Regions from separate parts of the Mus musculus genome. Here all the other regions are reported to be linked to region 2. Evidence: microRNA targets listed by miRTarBase, many of them from high-throughput screens and not tested one by one. Region 2 holds a microRNA gene; each other region holds the end of a gene's coding sequence.

Evidence for each region. The annotated mature microRNA mmu-miR-344d-3p reads GAUAUAACCACUGCCAGACUGA and lies in region 2 at 1,532-1,553, opposite strand. An mRNA with a match to its seed (bases 2 to 7 or 8) in the 3' UTR can be bound and repressed. Matches are read on the target gene's strand: a 7mer-m8 pairs with bases 2 to 8, a 7mer-A1 pairs with bases 2 to 7 and ends in A, and an 8mer does both.
Region 1: the mRNA of Lrrtm2 is a reported target of mmu-miR-344d-3p. Seed matches in the 3' UTR shown: 7mer-A1 at 3,526-3,532, 7mer-A1 at 3,176-3,182, 7mer-m8 at 2,736-2,742 and 7mer-A1 at 667-673.
Region 3: miRTarBase lists Nfib as a target of mmu-miR-344d-3p. Seed matches in the 3' UTR shown: 7mer-A1 at 977-983.
Region 4: the mRNA of Map1a is a reported target of mmu-miR-344d-3p. Seed matches in the 3' UTR shown: 7mer-A1 at 2,925-2,931.
Region 5: the mRNA of Ocrl is a reported target of mmu-miR-344d-3p. Seed matches in the 3' UTR shown: 7mer-m8 at 1,319-1,325.
Region 6: miRTarBase lists Prrx1 as a target of mmu-miR-344d-3p. Seed matches in the 3' UTR shown: 7mer-A1 at 2,410-2,416, 7mer-A1 at 2,381-2,387 and 7mer-A1 at 2,372-2,378.
Region 7: the mRNA of Zwint is a reported target of mmu-miR-344d-3p. The part of its 3' UTR that is shown has no 7-base or 8-base seed match.

The regions. Positions count from the first base shown.
Region 1 is chr18:35,208,902-35,212,970 of GRCm38, forward strand. It overlaps Lrrtm2 (leucine rich repeat transmembrane neuronal 2), which reads right to left. Exons shown (of 2, transcript NM_178005.4): 2 at 102-4,069. The coding sequence ends at 3,799. The region is part of intron 7 of Ctnna1 (catenin (cadherin associated protein), alpha 1); the gene reads left to right. Among named protein-coding and RNA genes, the nearest start is that of Lrrtm2, 4.1 kb to the right of the region's middle.
Region 2 is chr7:61,683,748-61,687,816 of GRCm38, forward strand. Mir344d-2 (microRNA 344d-2) reads right to left here and starts at 1,604; the gene lies at 1,525-1,604.
Region 3 is chr4:82,293,113-82,297,181 of GRCm38, reverse strand. Nfib (nuclear factor I/B) reads left to right here. Exons shown (of 12, transcript NM_001113209.2): 12 at 371-4,069. The coding sequence ends at 500. Among named protein-coding and RNA genes, the nearest start is that of Nfib, 210 kb to the left of the region's middle.
Region 4 is chr2:121,307,856-121,311,924 of GRCm38, forward strand. It overlaps Map1a (microtubule-associated protein 1 A), which reads left to right. Exons shown (of 7, transcript NM_032393.2): 7 at 77-2,977. The coding sequence ends at 232. It overlaps Ppip5k1 (diphosphoinositol pentakisphosphate kinase 1), which reads right to left. Exons shown (of 30, transcript NM_178795.4): 30 at 2,706-4,069. The coding sequence ends at 3,801. Among named protein-coding and RNA genes, the nearest start is that of Map1a, 20 kb to the left of the region's middle.
Region 5 is chrX:47,962,996-47,967,064 of GRCm38, reverse strand. It overlaps Ocrl (OCRL, inositol polyphosphate-5-phosphatase), which reads right to left. Exons shown (of 24, transcript NM_177215.3): 23 at 3,813-3,924; 24 at 1,197-3,605. The coding sequence ends at 3,481. Among named protein-coding and RNA genes, the nearest start is that of Ocrl, 53 kb to the right of the region's middle.
Region 6 is chr1:163,245,004-163,249,064 of GRCm38, forward strand. It overlaps Prrx1 (paired related homeobox 1), which reads right to left. Exons shown (of 4, transcript NM_011127.2): 4 at 116-3,393. The coding sequence ends at 3,255. Among named protein-coding and RNA genes, the nearest start is that of Gm20471, 33 kb to the right of the region's middle.
Region 7 is chr10:72,657,072-72,661,135 of GRCm38, reverse strand. It overlaps Zwint (ZW10 interactor), which reads right to left. Exons shown (of 8, transcript NM_001293683.1): 6 at 3,951-4,064; 7 at 3,748-3,870. The coding sequence ends at 3,750. Among named protein-coding and RNA genes, the nearest start is that of Zwint, 4.3 kb to the right of the region's middle.

The DNA.
Region 1 (4,069 bases), not on the chromosome of region 2:
ACAGCTGTTCATTTGACTTCTGTCACAAATGCCTATTTGGGTTTCTCCTGTCAGCACTTGCAGGTTTCAGGAGAAAATTATAAACAAAGGAGACATTCGGGTTTTTTTTACAGTATACACAATTTTAATAACAAAACTTTTCTGTACACTGTACTATAGTCCCACCAACCCAATTCCTTGTATAATAGTATTTTCTTCCTATCCCCCAACAACCCTCCCCCCATGGCTCTAAAAGGTAATTGAACAAATGTGTTTGGACTGTTCTTTGAGTTTGCAGTCTCAGTGTTCACAGGTTCACCAAATATTCCATGTATCATACTGATTTTAAAACTGAAGGAAGAAAAGATTAGTTCAAGAAGTTGGAGATGTTTCCAAATGTCTGCAATGGCAGAATGAAAGGGTGAATGGTCGTTTTCTGGTTTTGGCCTTATTCGGGCGCTATGAGTTTGCCCCAGGATAGCCAAAGAAATGCTTATCTATAGATGGCCCATATTATCATTTTAAAAACATCTTTTCTGATTCAAGCATTTTAACTGAGAATATATGAAAATTATGTCCAAAACATACTTGAGATAGTGCTGTTACTGGATTGCTGTATTAGGAAAATTATCATGTAATTTAACTGTTAAAATAGTCCTAAAAATTATCTATTTATTTATATATATATATATAATAGAGAGAGGGGAAATTTTTAGCTCCACCCTTACATAGCTATGTGTAGAAAGTATGACTTAAGAAAATAATAAAACTTTGATATCTCAGAATTCAGACTAGTGCTACATAGAGCTTGCTTTTACTGGAAAGATGGAGTTTAGCTTTTGGTGACTAGCATTATAATAAGCAGATGGGTTTTAATAATTAGTGTGGAATTAGGAAGTTTAGTCAATTCCATTCATTGAATTAGTACAGAAATTAACTTTGACTCATTAAGAAATTACATGTGGTAATACAATTTTTTTTGGCTTAAAAATAGTGTTTGTTTTTTGATGCCAGTAATATGAGTTTTGTGTGATTTTTTTTTTTTTATTTAAAGATTTACCAGCCCACTCTTTTTAGAAAGGTAAGCTTGAATTCCCTGTAGGCTACAAAAATAAGTAACTGTAGTTGCAAACTAATTTTAAATTCCTAGCTACATTTCATTTTTCTGAGAAATTATTTTCTGATTTTTCACTAGATTTTAAAATGGGGGAGAGGGAAAGTTGAGTGGTAATGCTTAAGAGATAAAACCCCACCCAAAGCCCTCACTTTTATGACTAGGAACCATATATGGTTTTGCTACTCTGGCCAGTTGGTAGCACAGATACTGCAATACAAATACATATCAACTAAATGCAGCCTTGTTTTCTGTAGGCAGTTAGAAATGGCAATCTGTGCTTTAACTGAGAAAGGAAAATACCTGGTTGGCACTACCATTACCAAAAATGTAGGAGGAAAAAATATGCCCCTCCCCCCTCCCTAGTAGTTTGCCTTGATGGCTCTTGGCACTGTTCTCCCTCGGATGCTAAGTGGCTTGCTCTGCTACTTACAGTCCACTTTACTAATTCTTTAGGATTAATTGGAGCTCCTAGTTACTATTTCTTACTTTTTAATTCACAGTTTAAATTAATTTTGCTTGTGATTTGAAATGATGAAAACCACTCATCGTTTAGGGCCGATGGAGTCTTCTTGCATGCTCAAAACTGAATTGTGAACAAGCTGTCCATCACCTGGCAAACGGCAGTGGTCACCATGATAAATGAGTTGTTAAATCCTAGACCACGGAGCTCATTTGTAATAGGGCTTCTGATGCAGCTCCTCGGTGGGGAAGCAGTGTGCTGTGCTCTGTGCTGGAAAGCCAGCATCTGTCTCAGCTCAGACGAACCGAGCTTCTGCTGTATCAGGAGAGGGAATGCTTGCCACTCAAGATCAGCCGAACCGGGATGCTCTGAGGCTTTGCTAGACTGATCACCCAGCATAAGAAATACAAAGAGCATATTTCACTGAAGCCTGACTATTATCTTCTTTTTGTTAAGAGATTTGAAATGTGGGTATATTTTTCAGTGCTAAAGGAAAACAATTATGATTGAATCTAGGTCTATAGTAACGTTTTCAGTCCAATCATGGGGAGAGAATAAGTCTTGAATGCAGGATACTGTGTTAGAGTAGTGACTTTCGTTATGGACTTACATATTTTTCCACATAAAAATGCTTCTTTTCTTTTCCTTTCTGAAATCAAAGTAATGATTTTCTGTTTTCTCCTATATGTGGAGCCATCTTTGTAGAAAAAAAATTCTATGTGAATTGGTAACTTGAGTCTAATTCCCCAGTATGCCATCATTTGCCTTAAAGAAGTCAGAATTGAACACTTGTGGTTCTTCATGAAAAATGTGGCATCATTATCAATTGTTACTGTGATTAGAGTGTTCGTATTTACACTGTAGAGTCTCCTTCCACACCATACAGATCCCTGAGCATCACTTATTTGGTGCAAATTGTACATGATCACGTTTGCTGCCTAGTTACTTCCACTAACCTGAGAGCCACACTCAAAGTCTTTCCCTGGGCTTAACCCCTCACACTCACTCTGCCTTCACTTGCTGCTGTGTGACGGCAGGGCAATGCCAGGAGTTCTGCCTTAAGGTTTGCCTCGGAAATTGGTCCTGTCTCAGAAGGAGCTACTCATATAAATGCGTATCTTTATTAAAGGGCAAGCTTTACCATCATATTTTGAAAGTAATTTTTTTGTGTTTTTTATAATATAACAAGAATCAGGGTTAGGCACCTTTAGTAGCCAATTATTTTTAATTTGGATCTTTGAAGTTTAAAGATCAGAAAAAGGCAGAAGGAAGAGGCTTAAACAGTTTGTCAAGGCATCTTTAATCATGAGAGGGGATGTATTTTCAAACTGGATGGAGTATATCAGGATTGTTAAGTTGACTCAGTTTTTCTCTTTCCCAAATGCAAATTTTTACATAATAGAGGATTTAGTAAGTTAATTAGTAAAATGGAATTTAATACTAGTTTAAAATAATAGGCTAAATGCCACAAAAATCAGCATGTCCATTATAAGTCAAACTAGAGTTGTATAAGAAGTCAGCATAGTTATTTAGTATTGATTTATTATAATGAGATCTTTTTATAATTGCTTGGATTTATTGTTGAAATATATTAAAGAGTCACCCAGTTTTATTAGAGTTATATAAAAGGTGCTGGTTTCATGATGTAACTTAGATAATGTTTATTAAGCCAAGCCAAACTGAAAGAATAACGTTTAATATTTACCAGTCTTAAGCACACATGTAAGTCTACTTCTTATACTGGCAGTAAATTATAATTTGAGTAAATACCACATTATCTTACAAGAGAACTTTGCTGTCTCCTTCTTAAGTAGGAAGCCAGTTGTGGTCCATAGGATGGAGAATAATAATCAAACAGGTTTTTGTCCCTACCTATATTTGTTTAGTAGCATCTTTTGGAACTGTTTTCAGTAAAAAAAAAAACCAAAAAACATATGGAGACCTTAGCGCAAATGTTTACATACAGTTGTATATAATTACATACATGAAATGTTTTATATTGAAGTAAGCATTTAGACTTTCCAACAAGAGTGCAAATTAATGTGAGCATTGCTTCACTTAACACTTAAAATATGTTTTCATTAAAAAATTAAAAATACTTTAACACTTCAAAAACTCAAGTCTCCACTTGGTTTGGAAAATTAGGCTTAATGTCACCATTGGTAAAAATTAGATATGTATTTAGCCCCTACTATGTAAAATAGGTTACTTATCTGATGTGATTTTTGATGATGGGTAGATATTATACTTCACATTCTTTGTATGGCAGCTGCTGACACTTGCACTGTCCATAACCATTAATGATGATGAAAGGTCCTTCATGGGTGGGTTCATACTCATTATACGGTCCTTGGTCTGACATGTTTGACATATGGAGTCGTGTTTGGGATCGGAGCTGCCTGTGGTTCTGAATCATTGAGCACTGCCTAATTCTTCTCAAAGTGGGAGGGCAGCACTTCCTGGAAATGAACACTATAAAAATAATAAAAAAGAAAGAAAACAATAAAGCCATT
Region 2 (4,069 bases):
CTCAATTTTCATGAAATGCTCAAGTGTCTCAAAAAATCTGAACAATATTAAATGAAATTCAGTGTTGAAAACAATATTTATATGCTGTGATTATGTAAAACAAAACATTGTGTGTAGGAAAATATAATGTGTAGTTTGAAAGAAGACATGCCATTTTCTGATGCATATAGAGATTAATGTGATTTCTACTGTCAGGAATATATTATTCAAAATAATACTGGTTCATGAATATCCAGAATATATAACAGAGGCCTGCTCTCTAAAATCAGAATGAAAATAATTAGAAATCTTAGGACTCAAGATATCTACGAGTACAAGATCACAATGAAAATTACTGTATCCATTTCTTCCTTTATATTGCGTTTTAACCAGCTGGAGATGATCTGGACATGATCTATTGATTTCTGTAAAGGGTTCCGGATTCTAAAGAGCTGTTATATAGCAAAGAACTGATGTGGAAGAATATCAGCCAAGAAAATCTAGTAAAGGACAAGAGCAATAACAAAATAACAAAATAAACAACTGTCTCTTTTTTCCCCCACCCGGCAACTGTCTCTTATATATATATAGAGAGAGAGTATTAAGTGTAATCTAGAGTTGAAAACATTGTTCATGGACTGTAGATAATCAAAACCATATGTAAAGTGAAGTAAAAATTAAAGTGTGCTCATGAAGAGGACAGAGATTATTTTGATGTACATACAATTGTAATTCGTTTACTACTGTAAAGATTATCTGAAAAAAAAAGTAATACATTTCAGAAATGTCAAGGATATACAACAGTGACCTGGACTCTTAAGACAGATTCGAAATAACAGAAAAAAAATATAGGTCTCAAAGGAGTCACTAGTACAAGTTCCCCATGAAAATTTCTGTGCTCATTTCATTTCTATAGTGTATATAATACCAAGGTGGAGATCTTCAGGAGATGGATGATATATTGATTTCCCTAAAGGACCCATGACTCTCTTGAACATATAGTTAGTAATGAAGTGGCTTGGAAGAACATACATGCTCAAGATTCTAGTATATTAAATATAAAATAACACTATAAACAATGTTTCAATTGTTGAATATTCATACCATAAATAAAAACCTGCTGCCAGAATCACTGCCCTAAGGATGCTTAGTTCCTGAGTAAGGTAGTATCTGTGTCTATTAGTTACATCAAGATTTTTCAGAGACTCCATGGTGGTATGTAGCAGGCATTTGCTTCCACAGCACTTCTCACAGTGTCTAACCTAAGTTTGTGAAAATGTGAAAATTTTTCTTAGTCTCTGTCACAAGCTGAGATTGAATCTTGTATCTTCTTTGCAGAAGACATATTCCAGCATGACTGAGAAAAGTGTGTCATTCTCCAAATCTCCCATAGAGATTCTCCGAATCTCCCATAGAGCGACAGCTACAATACAAAACGACCAAAGCAATCAGTGCATTGAGGCTCTGAAATAAACAAGCACAGGCTTTGATGATTTCACTGGCGCTGTCTGCTGACAGTGACACAAGCACTCTCCCTTCTCTTTAGCACCATTCAGTCTGGCAGTGGTTATATCCAGGACCAGATAAGTCCTGGAATATAGCCAGCAACCAGACTAATGAAATCTTCCCTGGCAGACAAATTTATTTGCTCTCCTTGCTTCTGATTGATTGAGAATGTGTATTCAAATAGAGAATTGAATCAGATCCAATCAGGAGAGAAATCCCATATGTAGACATGGACATCAAGTCCTGCTGAATACTTGGAGCTCTCCGTCAGTGCTGATTCATACCTCACTGGCTCCTCTCTGGCTTCCTGGAAGGAAGCAGGGCTATTAAAAGCAGAGGGTAAAAAATGTTTTAAACATATTCATTCTACACTGACAAACATAAAAAAAAGTCACTGTGACTTTGGAAATCTTCCTATTTCTGGCTCCTTCTTCCTAGCTTTAAGTTATTTGCCAGAGATTCTCAGTTTCCTTTTCACCTGACTGTCTATCTTACAATTTTTTGCTGCCTGCTCACCCATTGTGATGTGCCTTTGTTTCCTTATCCAAATTATCTGTTGTATGCTCAGTGCATGGCTGTTCCTTGATAATTTAATGTTTATATTATATTTTCATGCTTCCACAAAGAGTTATTTTAATACTAAATTTAGTATTCTGCCCATGCCCTACTCCACCTGTACTCAGTTTGTATGAAATGCTGCAGTGTCACATAAATCTGAAAAATATTTCATTCAACTCAATTTTCAAAACTGTGTTAATATGCTGTGGTTATTGACACTCAAATATGGTATATGTGGAACTTTTAATGTGTGGATTTTCTATTCTATTTTTTTTTATTTTCATAGGCTATTTTCTTAACTTATTGGTTATCCTCCATTCCCCTTTTTTCACACAGTAACCCCTTCTCCAATACTCCACCCCTCTGTTTCTATGAGGGTGTTCTCCCACCCACCCATCAAAAATCCACCTCCCTGCATTTACATTCCCATATACTGAGGCATTGAGTCTTTTCAGGGCCAAGGTATTCTTCCCCTATTGATGCCTGACAAGACCATCCTTTGCTACATATGAGCCATGGGTCCCTACATGTATACTCTTTGGTGGGTGGTTTAGTACCTGGGAGCTCTGGAGCAGTTTGGTTGGTTGATATTGTTGTTCTTCCTATGGGGTTTCAATTCCTTAATGTGTGGTTTTAAAGAGGTCAGGGAATTTTCTGACACATATAAAGCTCTAATGTGATTTCTACTGTCAGGAATACATTAATCTAAGCAATACAGTATCAGAAATATCCAGGATATATAACAGAGACCTGATCTCTAAAGACAGAAAGAAAATAGCATTAAATCTTAAGACTCACAGTATCCTTCAGTAAAAGGTCACAATGAAAATTCCTGTGTCCATTTCTTTCTTTACATGATAAAATACTAAGTTGGCTATGATCAGAACATGATATATTGATTTCCCTGAAGAGCTCATGACTCTACTGAGTCATTAAGTAGCAAAAGACTGACCTGGAAGAAAAGCTGGCTAGGTAATCTAGTAAACTACAAGAATAATAACAGAATAAACAATGGTTTTATTGTTGAGTGTCATTGGTCATTAATGGTAGCATGCTACTGTCGTCACTGTCCCAAGGCTGCTTGAACTCTGGGTATGGTAGGATCTGTGTCTGTTAGTTACCTCTGATTTTTCTTAGACTACAAGGTAGGATGTTGAGGACGTTTGTTGTCATTGCAGTTCTCACAGTGGTTGATCTAAGGATATAAAAATATCAGAAAATCCATAGTCCTGTGTCACAAGCTGAAGCTTGAATCTTTTATCTTCTTTGCAGAAGGCATGACAAGACAAAGAAGTGACACTCAAAATCAGAGGCCTGAAATTCTATACAAAACAAGGATCTAAAGAATCAGAGCAGGAACTCTCTGAAATAATCAAGCACAGTCTTAGCACCTTTCTGCTCTCTCTGTTGCTGACATTGGCCCAAGTACCCATCTCTTTAACATGATTCAGTGTGGTTTTGGCTATATCTAGGACCAGATGAGGCCTGAAGTATATAGCCAGCAGGTTATCTGTCAAGTGTTCACCTGCAGACAACCTTTCTGTTGTTTTCCACACTTCTGATTGATTGAGAATGTGGATTCAAATAGAGAGTGGAATCAGATTCAATCAGCAGAGAGATCTCAGATCTAGGCATGGACATCAAATCCTGCAGTAACTTTAAAGATCCATTAGGTGATGCTGATTCATCTCTTGGCACCCTCCTTCATGTGTTTCCTTATGAAAGCAGAAAAATAGAAAGTGGGTGGCAGGAAAAGCTGTTTTTACAATCTTCTCACTATATTAACCCACAGAAAAATTATTCAGTGGAAACTTGGAGTGTTCATAGTTCTAGCTCCTTCTACCTAGATCCTACAAGTTTGCCTGATTTACTCTCTTTCATTTTGAGCCTTTCTGACTCTGAAAATTATCTTGCAATTTTTGCTGCATGCTGACTAATTGTGATGTGCCTGCATATCCCTCAAAATTACTTCTGTTGTATGTTCTGAGTGAAGCCTTTCCTATTACAATAATTTTAATCGTGTAAC
Region 3 (4,069 bases), not on the chromosome of region 2:
GTCTCCTTAATTAACTAGAGTTCAGCAATTATATATAGTGAATATAGTTCATTTTGTGTTTTTCTGCATAGTAGTTAGGTCTTTTCATGGAAGCAAGAGATCATATAGATTACACCTGTATGATGTGTATAATCTAGAAGTTATCACATGTATGTACATATATATGTATATAAGCATAATATATATAATATAGCAAAGTCAATGCATGCTATTAATTATTAAATTTTATTAAAATTTTGGTTTAAAAAGTTAAAAATATAATAGTTGTAATTTAATGCATTTTGAATTTATATTTATGATATGGCTGGAGATTTTAACATTGTCTTATTTTTTCTTTCTTTCTTTTTTTCTTCCCGTCTCCTCTCAACAGTCCTGGTACCTGGGCTAGCTTGGTTCCTTTTCAAGTGTCAAATAGGACACCCATCTTACCGGCAAATGTCCAAAATTATGGTTTGAACATAATTGGAGAGCCTTTCCTTCAAGCGGAGACAAGCAACTGAGGGGAAAGAACCACAACCATAGTATAAGAAAATTAGGGGAAAAACACCCAACAAAGGAAAAGAGGAAGACTGGACAACAGGGAGAAAGGAGAGAAACTGAAGAAAGAAGACGGTAGACCAGCATTGCAGCACTTACAGTCACTAATTCCCTTAAGGTTGAGACTATAGTGACAGGAAAGGGTCAATGACATCTCACTGATGCTAGACTGCAGCCCCTGCACCGTAGCCTTTGTTACATGAAGTCCGCTGGGAAATAGATGTTCTGTCTCTATGACAATATATTTTAACTGACTTTCTAGATGCCTTAATATTTGCATGATAAGCTAGTTTTCTTGGTTAGTATTCTTGTTGTTTACGCATGGAGTCACTATTCCTGGTTATCTCAACAACGAAGGCTAGGAGGCGGCGTCAGAGGTGCTGGGGACAGAGCCATGAGCCAGCCATTTTATAAGCACTCTGATTTCTAAAAGTTAAAATTATATATATATATATATATATATATAAAAGAATCTCTGTAGCCTTTAGTTATCCGTACAGATTTATTAAATTTTGGCCCTTAACCCAGCCTTTTCCAGTGTGTAACCCAGTTTGAAATCTTAAAAAGGAAAAAAAAAAAAAAAGAGAAAAAAGAAAAATAGGGAAAAAAAAAACAGTTTGAACTCAAAGGCTCTATGGAAGAAATGCCTCTATGTGGGTAAAGGGTTACCTCTGCATGCAACAGTAAAAAGTAATATAATGTTTTCCCCACAAAAGAAACACTTAACAGAGGCAAGTGCAATTTATAAATTTATATCTAAAGGGGAATCATGATTATAAGTCCTTCAGCCCTTGGACTCTAAATTGAGGGGATTAAAAAGAATTTAAAATAATTTTGAGCGAATTTATTTTCCCCTCAGTTTTTGAGGGCATTTAAAATAAGGCATTAAATCAAGACAAATCATGTGCTTGAACAGAAAAAAAATAAAAAATAAAAAAAATATTGAAAACACAGCACTTAGGTTGGCTTAGCTGCAGCCTCCTCAGAGGTCAGATTATTTATTTAAAATTACTGGTTGCATCAAGAACCCATAGGGTGTACAAACGGTTCTATACAATCTGCATCGTAGAGACAAAGAGGCAGGGAAATCCATGTCACAAGGGTAAAGCTCCCCGTGTACAGGCTGGGAATGCCAGGTAGGCTAGGAAAACCCGCTCGCTCTTCAGAGAAGTGCCATCAGGGTGCTGGGAACATGCATGGTGCTTTCGGACATTAGCCTTGTTCAACACATTTCTCGTATTGACAGATCTATAGTGTGCATGGGCAGACACATGCTGCCTCTGTGTCTCTTAAAATTTTAATTAAAAGTACTCTTTCCAGTAATCCTAATTTGCACGAAGATATAATGTCCACATTACGTGCCTTGCCTTGAAATCTAAAAAAAAAAAACAAAAGACAAAAAAAAACCACAAAAGTGACATCACTACACTTGTTTTGCTGCATTTATTATCGTTTTAAATCTTTACCATTTTTATGACAAAATATTTTGTACTCCAGACGAAGAAAAATGTGTGACATCATGGATTTTTTAGACAGTTACACCTTTATCTCACATTTATAAAGCATATCATGGCTGTGTATAGTTGCCGCTTAAAAATTGTAATCGACCAGCAATATTTTCAGTATTTTTGGTGTTTTTTCTATTAACCTTTCATGTTTTTCATCTTCCAATTAATATTTGGGGGGGAGGGGTTTCAAATTTATACGAATTATGCAATACCAAGTTTTGCCTATGTAGGTAGTGCTTTTAGCTGTATTGGTTATTATAGGTAAGTACACAGATTTAAAAAAGAAATAATGTATGCTTTTTTTGTTTGTTTGTTTATTTGTTTGTTTGTTTTAATTGACCAAAGTGGGTACTGCTATTTTTGCAGTGTGATGAGGTCCTTTTGTGTACTGAGAGATGGACAGGGGATTTTTTTTAATATACATATATAAATATATATATATTCAGGGGTGGGTGGGAGGATTTTTAACCCTTTACAGTGTAGCAGTGAAGCACTGCACCCTGAGATGGGCCTGGGCTGCAAAGCAACTGTTCTGCCTACTGTGACAAACTTCAACTTAAACAGGTTTCCCTCCCTCCACCCCTCCCCGTACTTTCCCACCTGGAGTGCAAGCTGAACTCCTTTCTGGTTTCCAAGCTAAGAAACCAGGAAGAAAAAGCAAGCACAGCAAAAGCCTCCTAGAGGCCAACTTAGAGGAACTGCCCTGTCTTATTTTAGTTGTTATTGATAGTTTTTTGTTTCTTTTTTTTTTTTTTTCCTGAAAGTTCCTGAAACCACAGTGGAAAGTGAGCCTGTCTCATATTTGGCAAAGACATTTCTTGAAGTGCCCACATAGCAGATGTTGGCTGTTTCACACTTTTGAGTTTAACACAGGAATAAGCTTTCTTCTACCAAACACATTCCCCCATCTGGAGGGAGAGCTCCCCTAGTCCCTCCCCGCCCTCTGTCATTTTGTTAATGACAGGATAGGCTGCTCCTGTGACTTACTACTTCAAAATGAATGGTGTTGCACCTAGGATCTTCTTCTTTGACATCCAGAAGGTTGACTAGAGAGAGGGTTGCTCTTCTTGGATGTATTTGGACTGATAGAGTAAAATCAAAGTTCAGTTTTTAAGGAACAAGAATAAATCAATCCTCTTATTTTACCTGCCCTTGTAAACTGGAAAGTGGAGCAGAGGGAAATATAGAATTTTAAGCAACCAATTTTTCTGTGGATGAATTAAGTGTGTTTGATAATGATGGTGGGGGTTGATTTGAACGGGTGGTACTTCAAGTATATATTTGAGTTAATTTCCCCTGAGGACTACAGGTGAATAGAGACCAATTTTATTTTGTCTTTTCCCCATCCCCCACCTGGTCCTATTGAGTGTATCCATTGCTCCAAGGAGATCTTTAGGAATTAGTGACATACGCAGTCGGCTGTAAAGAAGCTCTCTTGACCCCACCCCCAGCCCCACCCCAGGCCCTGCCCTAGTAAATAAACTGTCAAGTGTATGCATAGCAGATCATTTAATAGTGAGTTCATGAGAACGATGCTCAGAAGCCCGGGAATTAAATCTGACTAGTCCATTCATGACCACATGCTGGTTAGCACAGTGGGATTCTAGGATGCAGGTTCTAAGAAAGGCCAGCCTTGTCTGTTACTTGCTTTGCAGATAACACATCCTCTCAGCCAAGCTCATAGTGTCTTTCTGACCTATTTGCTGAAGAGTGCAACCCTACAGGACACAGTATTCTTTCCAGGCAGTCCCCTCTCCTTGTCACCCGTGAATGAACAATTGTTGCTAAAGTACATGGCACACTGTGGGCATCCCTGCCTGCCTCTTGGGTACAGAGGCCTAGGGCAACTGTTCCTTTTTTTTTTTTTTTTTTAACCTAGTTCAATGTTTCTTCTTTTCTTTGAGATAAACTTATTAAAAAAGCACTACTATAGAAAATCTCGAATCCACGTTTAGCCTTCTATTTTTTTTTAAAACCAGGAAGTATATTCTGACGAAGGGCCCCACTTTTGCAGGTCTTGCACG
Region 4 (4,069 bases), not on the chromosome of region 2:
GAGACCATCAGTTCTCCTTCCCCCTCATCTGTCTTTCCTCCAGATTCTCACCTCAGGCATGTTTTCTTCCTCTTAGGTGACTCTGATTCCCACTCATGATACGGAGGTGACTCGTGAGTGGTATCAGCAGACACACGAGCAACAGCAGCAACTGAACGTCCTGGTCCTGGCTAGCAGCAGCACTGTGGTGATGCAGGACGAGTCCTTTCCAGCCTGCAAGATTGAGTTCTGAATGACCTGCGCTCCCTTCCCTAAGGATCCACTCCTACAGTTCATTTAGAGAATGGCTACTGCTGAGTCCTCTGGGGTTGAGGGAAGGCGAGCCGGGCAGGGGCCATGTCATGTTATTGGGACTTGGGGCTAAGTGGGAGGTCCTGTCCTTCCCCTCATCTCTTCCTGGGGTTTCAAGACCAAAGGCAATGAGGAGATACACGATTCTGAAAGGTCATCTGAAGCCTGAAACCCCTAGAGCAACCCCCTCTCCTAGCATTGCCAAATGCTGGTCTTGGTGAGGATGGGTTTCAAACAGCACACTCCTCCCGGTGGAGGAAGATTAACAACAGTCTCTCCCCCAGAACCTCATTATTTATTTATTTGGCATTCCAGAAAGGATTGCTGATAATTTAGATGATGCAGGGAAGGCCACTGTTAGTAAGGTGCCAGAGCTGCGCCCTTTCCTCCATCTGCCATGCCCTAGCCACTAGAGTCTGGGTTCCAGCAGCTACCTGGGGACATGTGGCTGCTCTATTGTCTTACTGCGTCCCACAATATCTGAATGTCTCAATCCAAAACTTGAAGCTCTTTAGACCAAGAACTAGGGAGAGGAAAAAGGAGCTCATCTCTCAGCCCCTTCTTCATAGCATTTACAGCCCCGGGCTGTACCCAGACCAGGCTACCTGGGCAGCACAAAGGGCAAGGAGAGCCCCAACCCCAGTTGCTCCAAGCTCCCCAATCACTTAGTCTTCACCTACCCCATTCCAATAAGCCTCATTTCTTCTCATCCCCTGCTTGGCTTCTCTGCATGTGGTCATCTGCTATGGCCTGGTGTGTAATGGGTTAAACAATAAGCCACTGCCTGACACCCACATCCACTTTAGCCATGTGTGACTCCCTAACATTCCAATCCTCTACCATCCTGCAGCTGAAATGGGAACACTGGCTGCCTCTCTAAACCTAAACTCTTGGATAGAGTTTCTGGGAGGTGGAGGCTGGACTAGAGAACTGGGGGAGGGGAGATGGGAGGGAGGGAGGAGGGGAAAGAAGAGAGGAAGGTGAGCTATAGCTTAACTCCTCCAGAGTGAGGAGAGGCTGAGCATTCTACTACAGGACAGGACCTCGCCCCAAGCAAGCCAGTGAGCAGCCCGGCCAGACCCTGCTGGACTGAGAGACCCAGCCGCTGACAGTCCCTGGGGCTTGCCTTCTTTGCCAAGCCAATGGGAAACCAAAAGGAGCTCACTTCCTGTTCTTCCTAGCTCCCCTCCCTGCCGCTGTGCTCCGCTCCTCCCCACACTTCCTTGCTACAGTTCCCAGCTGCTGTAACAGAGCCACCTCCACCTCTAACAATAAACCAAGTTCATTGCAGATGGTGTGGTGCTGCCTAGGCTTTCCAAGGCTCCTCCAGACAGTAAGCTATCCTGGTTTCCATCCCTCTGGTTCAGTTATCATTTATCTTGGAAGACTCTCCATTATTCAAACCCATCCCAGGACTCGGGAGAGCCAGCCTGTGTGAAAGGAGGATGAGATGAGAGAACCATCATCATTTCTGAAAAGAAGCAGGGTGTGATGGTGCATGCCTGTGATCTTAACACTCAGGGTAGAGGTGGAAGAATTAGGAGTTTGAGGGCAGCCTGGGCTATAGAAAGTTTTGGGCCAGCCTGAGCTACACAGTGAGTGAGTCCTTGTCTCAAAAAAAAAAAAAAAAAAAAAAAAAAAACAAGGGCTGGAGATAGCTTAGTGGTTAAGAACACTGGCTGCTCTTCCAGAACTCACATAGCAGTTTACAACTCTATATCTCCACTTCCTGTGGCTTCAACACCCTTTTCTGGTCCCTGTGGGCACCAGGCATACATGCAGTATATAGACTTATATTCAGGCAAAACGCCCATACACATAAAGTAAAAATTTAAGCAAGAAACAAACAAAAAAAATATAAAAATAGTCTAAAATGTGGGAGCCTGTAGCAGGAACATAAACATCTGGTTTAGAGAGTGCAATCTGCATTCTATGGGGTCAAAAGTAGTCCCTGTATTTTCCCAGAAAACTCTTAATAAATCTTTTCATTTACTGCCCAATGGATGAAAGCTACATTAAGTCCCCATAGTAAAACCCTTTGTAGTCTTAGGCATGTCATGAGTGGTCAGGTTATAAATGTGTATATGAGAAGGGAACCTTGTAGTCATCCCAGTGTCTGGAGCTTTCCTGATGTACATATGTCAACAGAGCAGAGGCCAGGCAGTGCCTCTTCCTGTCAGCTCCCGACTCACACCCCAAGGCACCAGAGAGGAAGGCATCAGAGGCTGCTGCTCAGAAACTACCCAGCATTCTGCTCAGTAAAAACACTTGGGATGGTAGACTGACCACTACAGGGACTCTTTAAAGCCAATCCCCGCTCATCTCCAGTATGTGATTGGTTCAGTCATGGACACAATGGGATTACATATTCATTCTTGAGTTCACAAAGGTCACAAAGGAGTCACACCCCCTCGTTCTCATTATTTTGTGTTTATTGAGCACTTGTCATGTTCCGGCCCCAGACTCCAATGACAACATTACCCACACCCACTCCCATCCCTAGATCTTTGGGAAAAGCTTTGTAATCACATATGGTCATAAAGACACATGATATAAGGACAAACCTCTTGGGGACCCTGGAGTGTTTGATCTTTGGCCAGTCTGTCCCTGGCAAACTACAGAAATATATATGTTTATATATATATATATATATATATATATTAAATCTTTGCTCATATCTGTACAACATTGATCTCTGCTAATTGTTTAAAATAGAACTTGATTCTCTCTATTACAGCATCTTCTAAGCCCAACAGCCCCACAACAAAAGGAGGCCTGGCTTCATAGATTGATGCAAATCTCCCAGAGCAGTCTAAGTAGTCACTCTGAAGTTGCATGGCAATCTAATATCTATTTTTCTCTTGAGCTGATGTCCACAGAAGCAGGACTAGGCAGGGGAGCACTTGGCAATTACATGGAAACACCCATGAGCTCAGTATAAACCATGAGTAGCCACAACAGATGTTTTTGAGATTGGAACTCTATTTTCCAGACATTTTAGGTGGTTCCCCTGTGCTAGCCTGTGCTAGTGAAGTTAAGAGTTTCCTTGAATGCACATATGGACTGAGGATACCCTAAAAAGCTGTGAATATTTCAGTCAACAAGAAGAGACCCTGCCACCTTCCATGTTATATCTGCTGTTCCCTCAGCACGGTATCTTCAGCAGTTAAGTGGCATTTCCTCCAAACAATCTATGATTCCCACTCCATGGCTAAGTGAAGAGCCAACAATGTCTCTGAACATCAACAGCTCCTCCGTAAGTATAAGCGCTGGCAGAAGTAAGTTCCATGCCACAAGGCCTGCTTTCTCAGATACTGCTGCTGTGAGCCCACACCTTGCGTGGGGCTCTTTCTGTGTGTTAGCCAACAGAAAGGCTGCTGGCTCAAAGAGCTGGCAGAGTGGGAAACCAACGACAAGACTACAAGTCACATGGTGCTAGTGGAGGGGTGAGTGCTGGTCATGGCCAGAGACTGGTTTTCAGTGTTTACATCACTGGGTAGACATTGAACTTAGGAGATAGCCTCAGGAGGCAGCTCATCAACCACCTCAGACTCCTGATCAATCTCCTCAGAGACCTCCTGAGCCTGCAGCTCAGTCTCCTCAGAGAGCTCTTGGGATGGTTTGTCAGCCTCAGGGATGTCTTGAGATAGCTCACTGATGGCAGGGGCCTTCTGAGCCAGCACGCCAACCTTCACAGAGAACTCCTGGTATGGATCTTCAGGGATCTCTTGGGTTGGTCTGCCAATTTCCATAAGGGTTTCCTGGGCCGTGCTATCAA
Region 5 (4,069 bases), not on the chromosome of region 2:
TACAGATGCAGATGCTTGCAGCCAACCTTTGGACTGAGCACAGGGTCCCCAATGGAGGAGCTAGAGAAAGGACCCAAGGAGCTGAAGGGGTTTGCAGCCCCATAGGAGGAACAACAATAGGAATCAACCAGTACCCCCAGAGCTCCCAGTGACTAAACCACCAACCAAAGAAAACACATGGTGGGACTCATGGCTTCAGCTGCATAATATGTAGCAGAGGACAGTCTTATCTGGCATCAATGGGAGAAGAGGCTCTTGGTCCTGTGACGGCTCAATGCCCCAGTGTAGGGGAATTTGAGGGCAGGGAGGAGGGAGTGGGTGGGTTGGTGAACAGGGGGAGGGAGGATGGGATAGGGAGTTTTGGAGGGGAATTGAGGAAAGGGCATAACATTTGAAGTAAATTAAGAAAATATCTAATAAAAAATTAAAAAAAAAGAACCAGTATTCAACCAGGCAAGATGGTGTGTGGCTATAGCCCTAGCTACAAGGGAGGCTGGGCCAGGATCATTGATTGAGTTCAAAACCAGCCTCAGCAACAAAGTAAGATTCCATTACAAATCCCATTCCACCCACCCACCCCCAAAAGCAAGACTTTCTTTTGATGAACTCACTGTTGCCTGAAATGATTTTGCTGGCTTGAAAGTACACAACTTCTTTATTAGTCTCATAAAATACATGGCTTCTTATACATGCACCATATGTGTGTGGGCTCTTGGCTCCCCTGGACATAGAGTTATAGCAGTTGTGATCTGCCAGATGTGGGTGCTGAGAACCAAAACTAATCAATATGTGCTCCTAACTGCTGAGCCATCACTCTAGTCCCCATTTTATTTATGTGGCCATGTCACAACACATGTGTAGATTAGATGACAACTTTCTGGAGTCGGTTCCCTCCTACCATGTGGCTTCTGGGAATTGAACTCAGGACACTAGCCCATGGAATCATCTTACCAGCCCAGGAAAACACTCTTTTTTTTTTGGTCCTGGTGCTGAGAATCAAATCCAAGGCTTTGTGCATGCTAAGTAAGCGCTCTAGAATGGAGCTACAGCCCCAGCACAACAATTTTAAATGGTATTTCTCTGTAGGCTCAGTAGTGACAGGTACAGGTATGGTTGGGTGGGGCCTACAAAAATGTCAAGTGAGTCCAAGTGATATTAAATCTCCCCTCTTCAGTTCTCAGTCAGATCACAATGAGTTTTCACACAACATATATTTATTCATAAAATTGCAATAAATTATAATAAAAAAGATGACACAAAATACAGAACCCCACTAGCAGCTTTGCGTAGTGACCGAGACATTTTTTTTTTTTGTGAAATATAACAAAGAACTACAGATTAAGAATCAGAAAGGGAAACTAATGTAGTATCAGCCAATAGACTGGAATCATTTCTTCCCGAAGATGCTAGGTGCAGTCTTTCACTACCAGTTAAACCTGAAATCCTTAATTCAGAGCAACTATGAAATAGTACCTTGGAGGAATTAGGAATGAAGAGGTTGAGGGGCAGGATAGGCAGGATAGGGAAGTAGGTTTCTTCCATCGGATCTGTTTTGTATCCCTTTCCTAGAGATTGTCTAAAACCCTCAACCCTATAGACATCCCAGGCTGAGCTGGACAAAAGGCCGAGGCAGTGAAGCAACTTGGTGCTTTGGCCTGATGAAGGAAGGGCACTACGTGCATGCTCCACAGAGCCCCCACTAACCATAATCTTGCTCATCTAAAGACCCAAGCTTGGCGAGGTATTATAAAATGGGCACAGGAGAGGCATTCCCCTGTGGACCACCTTGCTCCAGCTCCTACCATCTGCTTCTTCAGTGATTACTTTCTGGCCTAATAGATATGACAAAATTCTTCTGCTCTCCGTCTTCCACTAATCAACTGTTGACCCAATCAGATCTTCAGTGAGCTGGCACCAATACTTTGATTCCGATTTCCCAACTCCCAATTATTTAAGGGCTTAACTACTGCAGGATACATACCTTTTGTTCTCCCAAGAACTCAATTTTGAAGAGATGAGGGAGCTGGAAAACCATTTGATGGTGGATGTTTTCCTGGCCCTCTCCTTGGATGGTACAAGATACTACTGATGGAATCAGTGCCCAAGATTGTACACACAGCCTATATGAGCGCCTTACATCAGATGTTAATAGGCAAGAATGACACGACTTGGGTTGGTTTGGTGAATGAAACCAAGCAAGTCAATTTCACCAGGCAGTTTTGCAGCCAGAAGCTGGCAGCTGGTTTGTCAGTCAACAAAGTAATTTTTAAAAAGTTTGTCTGTCCCACAAAGCTTGAATAAAATGAAAACCTTAGAGTCATTTCAAGTGGAAGAGGTAATGTGTGTGGCTGGTCCCACGGACCAGTCTCTCTTACACAGCACTTGATATAGTGTCAAGGAGTCAAGGGCAGTCTTTTTAAGTCTTTGCTTGAAGGAGGCGGATGTGGAGCTCAGAGTGAGCCCTGTTGAGAGAGGCCAGTAACTTTCCCCGACACTTTAGGAGATAGGAGAATGGGTTCTGAGGGTTACCCTCAATGCTTGGTTTGGAGGGCGAGGAAAGCTCCTGGGACCTCACTTGAGGTGCACAGACTTCTCTTTTGACTGTGATGCAAACATGACTCTGGAAGTGGGTTTCTAGTGGGGGAGATGGGGACCAACATGCAGGATTGCTCCGCATGTCAAGTGTGGATAGTAGCCGGGCACGGGGACTGGGAAGCAGGGATGTTTTCATTCTGATATACTCACAGTGCTTTCCTCGCTGTTGTGATGTTTCTCACATCAGTGGGACGCCATCTCTATAGTCCATAAAATTATGTAACTAACCATGGTCTGAGACAAGGGAATCGGGCTCCACCAAGTGTGGTTCCCCACGAAGGCCAACATTACAGTGACATACAGATATCATTGTAGTAGAACTGCACAAACGCTTGTAACAATCACATGGAGACAGTGAACTTCACTGTTCAGGACACCCACAGAGTCACTAGCCTCATCCAGGCTTCCTTCAAAGTGAGAGCATGGAGGAAGTGTGCAAAGTAGTGACATGAGGAGAGGGTGGGTCCAAAGTGCATCATACAAAGAACTGTAGACAAGTCTGAGCTATAGCAAGTAGTACTTGTAGGCTTAGAACAGGAAGGCCTCTCAATCCAGGCCTAGGGTATTAAAGATAATCATGAGGACTGGGAAGCAGGGCAGAAAACATACCCCTAGGTAAAGGTGTGTAAATACAGACCTCTTTGCTTTACAAAGAGTAAACACAAAAACACCGAAATATGGTAACTTTGGCTTGGCAATATATGTCTAAAAGGATTTTGCTGTGTAGGATATGGTAAGGAAGGATTAGGAAAACTCTTCCCTTTGTACTACTAACAGAATGTAAGATCCTACAGTAGACCCTTTTTGTGTGATAACTTTTCAGATCATTTTGAAGTAGTCGGAGCCCAAGGTCTTCCTCCTCTAGAATCTCGGATAGGAAAAGACTTAGTCTTCCTCGTTCCCAAGCAGGAAGACCAAGAGGAACTGGATGGCATGCTGGCGGTCATTTGGAGTCTGTCTTGTCATGAGGTTTGGTGGAGGTCTTAGGAGAAGGCTACTGAACAGGGTAGCTAGAGGGTGGAAGAAAGAAAAGGGGAAGCCCACTGTCAGACATTACCTAAGCAAAACCTCAAGGCTCGGGGTGCAGGGAACAAGAACAGCAGGAGGGAAGGGACTGCCATGTTCCCAAAAATCAAATATGGTACACATTATGCACAATGCATCCAGATTCTGTCCAACAAGCACTCTGCACAGACTCTCTCATGAAGCCCCCTTACCAATCATGTTGGTGTTGATATTGTTGTAGTCAGAGAATTTTAAGAGTTCACGAAGGAATGCCATCAAGTAGCGGAAAACATTTCTATGGCACCTTGGAAGCTGGGAAATGACCTGTTTTTTAGAGACGAGTGTGTAAGAAGGTTAAATGGCTCATAGGGAATGAGACTCCAAAGCTGCCATAAGAACAATTTGTAACCCAACTGTTAGAAGCCCCATTTGTCTGTCACTACCCTCTATTATCATAAGCAGTATTTTA
Region 6 (4,061 bases), not on the chromosome of region 2:
TCATTCTTACTGTCATGTTTCTCAGTGTCTTCTTGAATCTAAGCAGTTCTGCCTTTTGGGAAGTTGAAAGCGAAAATAATCATCTGAGTCCAGTGTATTATAACAAAAGACATTGTATTATCACTCTTTCATTTTATTGAAAAGAAATCATTTCTATTCTAGCACAAACAATGTATATTTTACATCATAAAGCAAGATATAATTTACATATTACATTTCTTATGAGATCTTTATTACCATATGCCATTCCCTTTTTTGTAATTAGGTCATTACTTCTGGTTTAATTTAACCTCCCACGTGCTGAACTAATTGGCCTCTTCTTTGGTAAGGGAGTGTGGACATTGATAGTTCTAATGCCTTCATCTGGGTATATTGATGGAGCGCAGTAGCTATATGCCTTGAGTCTGACACTGAGACTCTCCTCTGGTAATTGACTTACAAGCTAGATATCTAACCCTCCAAACCACTTGTTAAACTTATATTCTTTCACAAAGTTTACCACAAATGAACAAAATTGAGCGTCAGTGCTTCAGGTGTATTTCCTGGTACGTGCTCAGATAAAGCTGCTGTGCTGTGGGTCTACCAGCTGCAGACATTCCTATGATTAACTAGCAGGGGTTATTCTGTGAAATTCCGCGAAGCTGCTTGTACGAAGCATCAGACACAACATCCCACTTCCTCCTTTGAGTTTATGGGATCAGGTTTGTTTGACGTCCACTGGAAATGGATGCCAGGATGAAGGTTTCAGATGACTTCCAACAACTGCCTTCCAAGATTCTGCTCTCCTTAGAAAACACTTTTCATTTATAATTTCTCTTCCTTGCCTATAATCCAAATATTTAAGCTATTCTCTACAAACGCTAAATTCCCGGTTTACCAGTCTCTTGGACCTGTACTCACTTACAAATCAAAAAACATTTTTACAATAAGGATGTACTGGTTTTTTTGAAATGTGATAACACGCAGCAATCGATGGGACAAATACATGAGTGGAGATAAAAACAAGTAATGTATATTAAGCCAGACCACATAAACTATTCTGAAAGAAATGCTTTAATAGTAGTTGTTGAGAAGGAATCACTTCATGAGATCAAAGTACACAAGATGATCTTCCTTCTTATTACTGAACAAAGTACAAAATCACTTGAAATATATTTTCAGATGGGTGCCTGTTAGACTGGGGAAAAAAAATCACCATTAACACAGCCAGATATGCCAAGGGAAGAACAAGTATGTGCTAAAAGTGAATCTTATACGCCAAATACTTTGACTGACACGCATATTGCAATGTTGACATATTTGGCCAAAATCACTCTGAAGATTTTCATTCACTGAGAACTATGGTTAATAAAATCGAGCTGTTGATGAAAATATAAGTTAAAAAATATCTCTATACTTTGTGCCTTAAATTATTCTTTGGTCAAATGATGTTATTGTTGAGATATTTGAAAATATAAACCTATTTATCATTTCCAAATAGAAGGTTATATTTATGTACAGTCAGATACCATTTCCTTACTAGAAAACAAAGCTTTCAAATACCGTGTTAATCCATGAATATTGTATGCTCTTAATGTCCCTTCTCCTTTCACGGCTACAAAGTGCTGGACAAACCAGGAACAAGGAAGGAAGGAAGGAAGGAAGGAAGGAAGGAAGGAAGGAAGGAAAGGGAGGGAGGGAGGGAAGAGGAGAGAGAGAGAGAGAGAGAGAGAGAGAGAGAGAGAGAGAGAAAACAAATGGATGTAGCCTCACAACATCCCTGTGAGGTAGGAATTGTTAAACCATTTTATAAACAGGTAAACTAGACACAGCATGGCAACGTGGTTTGGTCAAGTTCACCAGGAAAATTGCCAAAGCAAAGCTGGGAACAAAGAGAAACAAAGAAATACCAGCTCTGCCTCCCACCCTCGATGCTAAACCTCATTTCAAAACAACTAAAATGTAAGAGTATGATTGTATTTAATTTTTAAAATTTAAGCAAGGCTTTAAACACTTCACTTCAACATATTGTCTTTCATATTCCTATGAAGTAGAGAAAGAGTGCTGTCTTCCCTCACCCTTCCAACTGTATTTCTCATGATAAGTCAGATGATATAGACTTTACACTCAAGATCAGAGTCCAAACTCAAGGTCAACTCTATAGCATCAAATAATTCCTAATTTTATTAAAGCCCTAACATAAAAATGGAAGCTGTTCTCAAACAGCTGCCTGGCTAATTGCTCTCTGACCTTAATGAGGATTTTATATAGACTATGAAAACAAGATGCCGCATTAACATATAATTATTGTGTAAATAAGGGCAGTGGTGATGGCAGAGAGTTTGCTTTTATAGTTTTTGAGAAACTGCAAACTCAAGCTTTCAATATTTTATATATAATATATATAAATATATACAGCATATATATGTATATATAAAAGTGTGCATCTGACCACCTCTAAGGCACCAAAGAAATATAGACTATGCCTTTCACAACTCAGTATTTTTCTTCCTACAAAATTTTTTTCCATCTCTAAAACTGAAAGGATTTCTTCTACCAAAGAACAAGTGAAACAATTGTTTAAAAACGATGAGTATCTTTAACTTAGGATCTTTTATTGTTTGGGTTGGGTAAGGGGTAGGGTTAACGGTGACATCATAACCTAGAGCTTAGAGCTTAGAGTACACCAGACATGACCAACCACATTGATCAGACTGGTCAGTGACCAGAACATGCGTACATTTATTTTTTTCCTGTCACTGATAGAAAAACCTTACCATGACCAACATGGACACAATAATACAGATTCTTCAGAAAGACTTTGGATTTTCAAAAATCTCCTAGAGAGACTTGGAAGGAGACAGAGTAAGGCACTGAAGTCAAGCAGGTTACCGAGAAGTGATCTTTCTCATATATATATTTCTTTGGCTGCTGGAGATTTCTTTTATTCTCATACAATTATAGGAATGGGTGGGCTGAGCCTAACAGAAGAAGCCTGGAGTATAATTAGCTAAGCATGGATAGAAGGAAAACAAAATACACACACAAAAGCAAATGGTGATGGTAGGTATCCGAGAGCAAGAAGAAACATTTGTTAACTAATTTTCATTTTGTTCCTCTCCTGCTTTGCTCCGCCATGGTCCCAATATTTTAGTTCTGGCTTTGTTTGTTTGCTTTTATTTTTTTTTCCCCGGCGGATGAAGATATGACAGAACAGGATAGGTGTCTTATGGTTTTTGATTTCTTCTTAGGCCTGTTTAATTATTTTTTTTTCCTCAGTTGACTGTTGGCACCTGGTTCCTCTGTAAACTATATTCCTTGGCCTTCAGTCTCAGGTTGGCAATGCTGTTGGCCATGTTGATACCCTGTGCAGGGCTATTGTTGGCACATGTGGCAGAATAAGTAGCCATGGCGCTGTAGGGACAAAGGAGAGAGCAGGGAGAATAACAGACATTAGTTTCATGAAGCTGTAAGACCATGCCCTGGATGGATATACTCTCAGGACAGAGGCAGGCAGGGCAGTGGGGTAAAGAGAGGACCTTCGGGGTCTCTTACAGCTCCAGTTTTCAATTAGTTTAAGGTCCTTGGAAAAGGGTGTCCATCTTTTTACAGGGCATGGGGAAGCAGACAAGAATGAGACAGGGTAGGGAAAGGTTTTTGCTGTGTTGGATACAGTGAGTAATGATTTATTTCAGGGGTAAGAGGAGACTGCTCATGTCAAATAGCAGGAGTTTCATCAGCTAGTTCAGAGTCTAATCTTTCCTACCTATACCAGATAACCTGTGAAACCATCGAAGGAAAATGGCAAGCATTTGACAGTGGATAAAAAGAATTTTGCTTCTTCATTCTAGGAAATTGACCTGGACTCCAATGTATTTTGGATAATCAATAATACTATAGAAAATGATTATAGATTATAGAAATGGTTATATGTGCTTATAGAATTATTAAACAACCCATCATATTCCTCTGGCATTGTGATTCATTGGATGATTGTAACAAGCATTGTCAAGTCAAGGCTTTCCTATCAGTGGGTTTTGTTTTTAATAACTTTTCAAAGGTATTTGACTAGCACACATTAC
Region 7 (4,064 bases), not on the chromosome of region 2:
ATGAAATGCATTCATCTCAGAAATGGTAGAGGACTAACAGTGAAACAAGAATTCCCATTTTCAAAGATAGTAGGGATTTCTAATGCTATGATTGATAATTTAGTGTACTTTTGGGTACCTAAGTTTGGAAGAAAAAATTTATAAAATAACAATCTCTTGATAAAACATATGACCCTATACAGTAACGAAAAGGCATATATTTTTTACCTACAAAATATTGCCTAAAATTTCAAATATTAAAAATATATGCCAAAGGAAAGAAAATAACAAATAATGATTGGGTTAAAAAAAAAAAAGAGCAGTGAAAAAGGCCAAACTCTGAGGTATTCTGTCATTTCTCTTATTACTTTATGGAGCTGTGAATTAGATGTAGAGCCTTACAGCATCAGCTGTACCCGCAGCCTAAAGCTAGAGCTTGGAAAGACAAACAAAGCAAAAGCCTTCTGGGAAATACTAATGAGAAGAGAAAAAACCATCCAACAACAAAAATACCAACTAGGATGCATACAGATGTAAGGAATGTCAAAAATGCATACTTTAAATGTTTTACAAGTTACACACTGGTTTACACAAGATACCATGAGCCACTAGCACAGTCCTTTCAGCTGTGTATGAAGCAAAACATACTGCCAAAAACAAAGGTAGGGTTACTCAAACATAAACAAATGAGACCATGCAAAAAGGCAGTGTGTCAATGAGCTGAAGTTGCAAACTAGTAACCTAGCCAACAAAGAAGACAAAACTGCTGTGAGCATCACTCTTAAGACAGAAAAACAAGTAAATGCACTCTATACTAGGCTCCAATATAATATCTTAAAATGGAAATTAAAATTCCAAAGTCAAGAAGCAGATGACTGAATCATGGATAGCAACATAAAATTACGACAGTTAGGAAAACTAAAATTTGGGCTGGAGAGACGGCTCAGAGGTTAAGAGCACTGACTGCTCTTCTGGAAGTCCTGAGTTCAATTCCCAGCAACCACATGGTGGCTCACAGCCATCTGTAATGGGATCTGATGCCTTCTTCTGGTGTGTCAGCTACAGTATGTACATAAAATAAATAAATAAATATTAAAAAAGAAAAAAGAAAACTAAAATTCCATGTAGAAGGAATACAACTTTTAAAAATTAAAAAAAAATATTTAAAAAGGTAACTGATCGGACTGCTCCTTTAGAATAACCCAACAGTGTGGACGTTAAAGAGACAAGGCTGAGAATATTCTAGAATTGTTGATAAAAGCATATTCTCAACTATTTACAACATAATAAAACGATAGAATGGAAAAAGGGATTGTGAGCAGCCAGGGAGAGTAGGAACCTATGGGTAAGATCTGGCAGTCTACTGTATAGCGCAGGCACCAGGACAAGTTGGTTTACTGTACTCTAAAACCTGCTGAGTGCATCTTTCATAGTCTCAGTGCAGGAAAGTATGTGAAGAAACACATTATTATGCTTAATTTAATCATTTCATAGCATATTCAAGCATCAAAACATGTTGTATACCTTAATACTATATATATCCTGTTTTTCTATTTTACTTTCATAAAGCTAGAAAACAGAAAAGTATACCACAGAAAGAGCTGTGAAGTGTATCGCTGATTCCTCAGAGGAAACAATGAGAGTCAGAAACGCACCTTGAGGATGAAACAAAAGTCTTTTCATACTATAAAGTCTTTTGTGCTCTGGCGATTTGAATGGGAATGGGCCCCAATGGCTCACATGTTTGAATGTTTGGTCTCTAGTTGGTGGCACTGTTTTGGAAGGATTAGGTGTGGCCCTCTGGAGGTGTGACACTGTGGGTAGGGTATGAGGTTTCAAAGCCCAGGCTAGTTGCCCCAGTCTCTCCTCTCTCTGCCCGCTGCAATGTGGGCTAGATGTAAGCCCTCATTATTGCTCCAGTGCCATGCCTGCCTGCCTGCTTGCTCTCGTTCTCCCTGGCGTACACAATGTGCATGAACTCACCCTCTGAAACCTTACCAAGCCTTATGTTACATGCTTTTTTGTTTTATAAGTTGCTTTGATCATGGAGTCTCTTTACACCAATAGAAAAGTAATAAAGACTAATTTCTAAAGGAAATTATGAAACATTTCCTTATGATGAAGTTACTGTATAGGAAAGCAATGCAATGTAAAATCAAGAGAGGGGAAATTCAAAATCCACATGCAGATATGAATATAGCATTGAATGGCTACAATTTTAATACGTGAGAATATAAAGGATAGAAGTAGTAGAATGAACAACTGTATTAGCTAAAGGTAGGGTGCTGTATCGATGGTAATGCGTTCCAGGGTTCATTCTGTGCTTAAGAAAAGGCTCAATGTCCTTCACATATAACTTTAGGCTAATAATAGCTGAACTTACAGAGAAGACCTTCTTAGGAATGAAAAGGATGAAAGAAATACCAACCAAACAACACATTAAAGCGAAGGCACTAAGAATACCAAAACATAGAAATTACAGTAAAATGGCACAAACATCAAATCCTTTTCATTACAGAACTGAGAACTATGAAATCTTAAAGATTCCTTAAAGTATTACTGAACCCAATCTGTAAACAGTGGCCCTAAACATGCATACAACTGACAGACATAAGGACTAAGTAAGACTAAAACTCAAGGTTGAAATCAAGGCAAAGGTAAGCAAGGGAACTGCAGAGGTTATATTAATATTAAAATGCTGTATTTCTAGTCAAAGGCATTTCTGTGGACATAAAGTGGCCAACAGAACCATGAGTACATTAAGGGCCACAGCTGAAAACTTGAACCCACTTCTCTCAGACCTCAACAAAACAAGTACATTAAAGACATAAGTAGAAAAAAGGAACAATCACAATCCAAAGGAAAATAAATGTCACACAATTCTAAAATAAGAAATGTTTAACAAAGACTACATTGAGGCTACAACTATTTTCCCTGTCTAATCAAAAATAGCAATTATTACAAATGACATTCTCTAAAAATACATGGTTCTGGCAGGCTTTGCCCTCTCCGCTCCCTTCCCTCTGCCTTGCTAAAAAAAAAAAAACAAAAAAAAAAACAAAAACAAAAAAACAAAAAACATTAAACTACATTAAAAAACATTAAAGCTAGCCACTGGAGGTCTATTCCCTTATTTGGCCACTTCCTCCTCCTGAGGCTGGTGCACAAGATCCAGCCATCAAAGTATTCAAGTCCAGCAATCAAAGGCTCCCTTTGGCTTATCTAATTAAGATACCCAATCAAAATATACAACCCCCACCCCCACCCCCACATCCTAACCCATTTTAACCCAAACCAACCCCTCACTTTTCTCTTCTTAAAAACTATACCTGTGAGGTCATTTGCTGCTGTTTTCCTGCCTGTGTCAGAAAGCAGACACTAACTTTTCTTCCCTGCTTAATAAAGAATCTCTGTGACAACACGTGCTTGAGTATGGTTTGTACCTAATCTGGGGTCTGAAAATCTTAACCATCCTGTTCTTTCCACTTTTTCAGTTCCTCGGATCTAGAGTTCAGAGGGCGAGGATTTCCGTCTTGGCAGCTCAAGCACATCACATTCTGAGTTGGCTTCTGTCCGCTGCAGGATCTTGTGCATACAGCTATCACCCAGAGAGCTATCAATGGAGGGTGTCCGCCCGCAGGGAGTAAGATCAAGTTCCCAGCTCCTCTTTCAATCTTGTCAAGTGGACACTGATCTCTCCCCACAGTTGCCCTGTTCTTCTCTGCTTGGGGACGAGGGGAGGGTGGTTACTCAACTGACAGGGCTTACCTTTAAGGAGATTTGGATTTGGCTGTAAGGGCTCGCCCTTTCACATCTTTGTCCTCAGCCTTGCCCTCAGAGATGACCAGCTTATTCTGCAGCGAACACAGCAGCTGGAGGTAGCTCTGGTTCCTAGAGGGACAGAGTTTGTGGGAAGTGACAGGAGTCTTGGGTACACTGCCTGAGGCTTCAACCCAGGATTCAAACCTCACCTCTGCAGCTTCTCCTGTTCCTGCCCCGCTTGCTGCTTCAAGGTTTCCAGTTCCTGATGGGATCCGTCAAGCTTCTCCAGAGCCCTCTTCCGGCGCCTCTTGACCTCTGCAGAA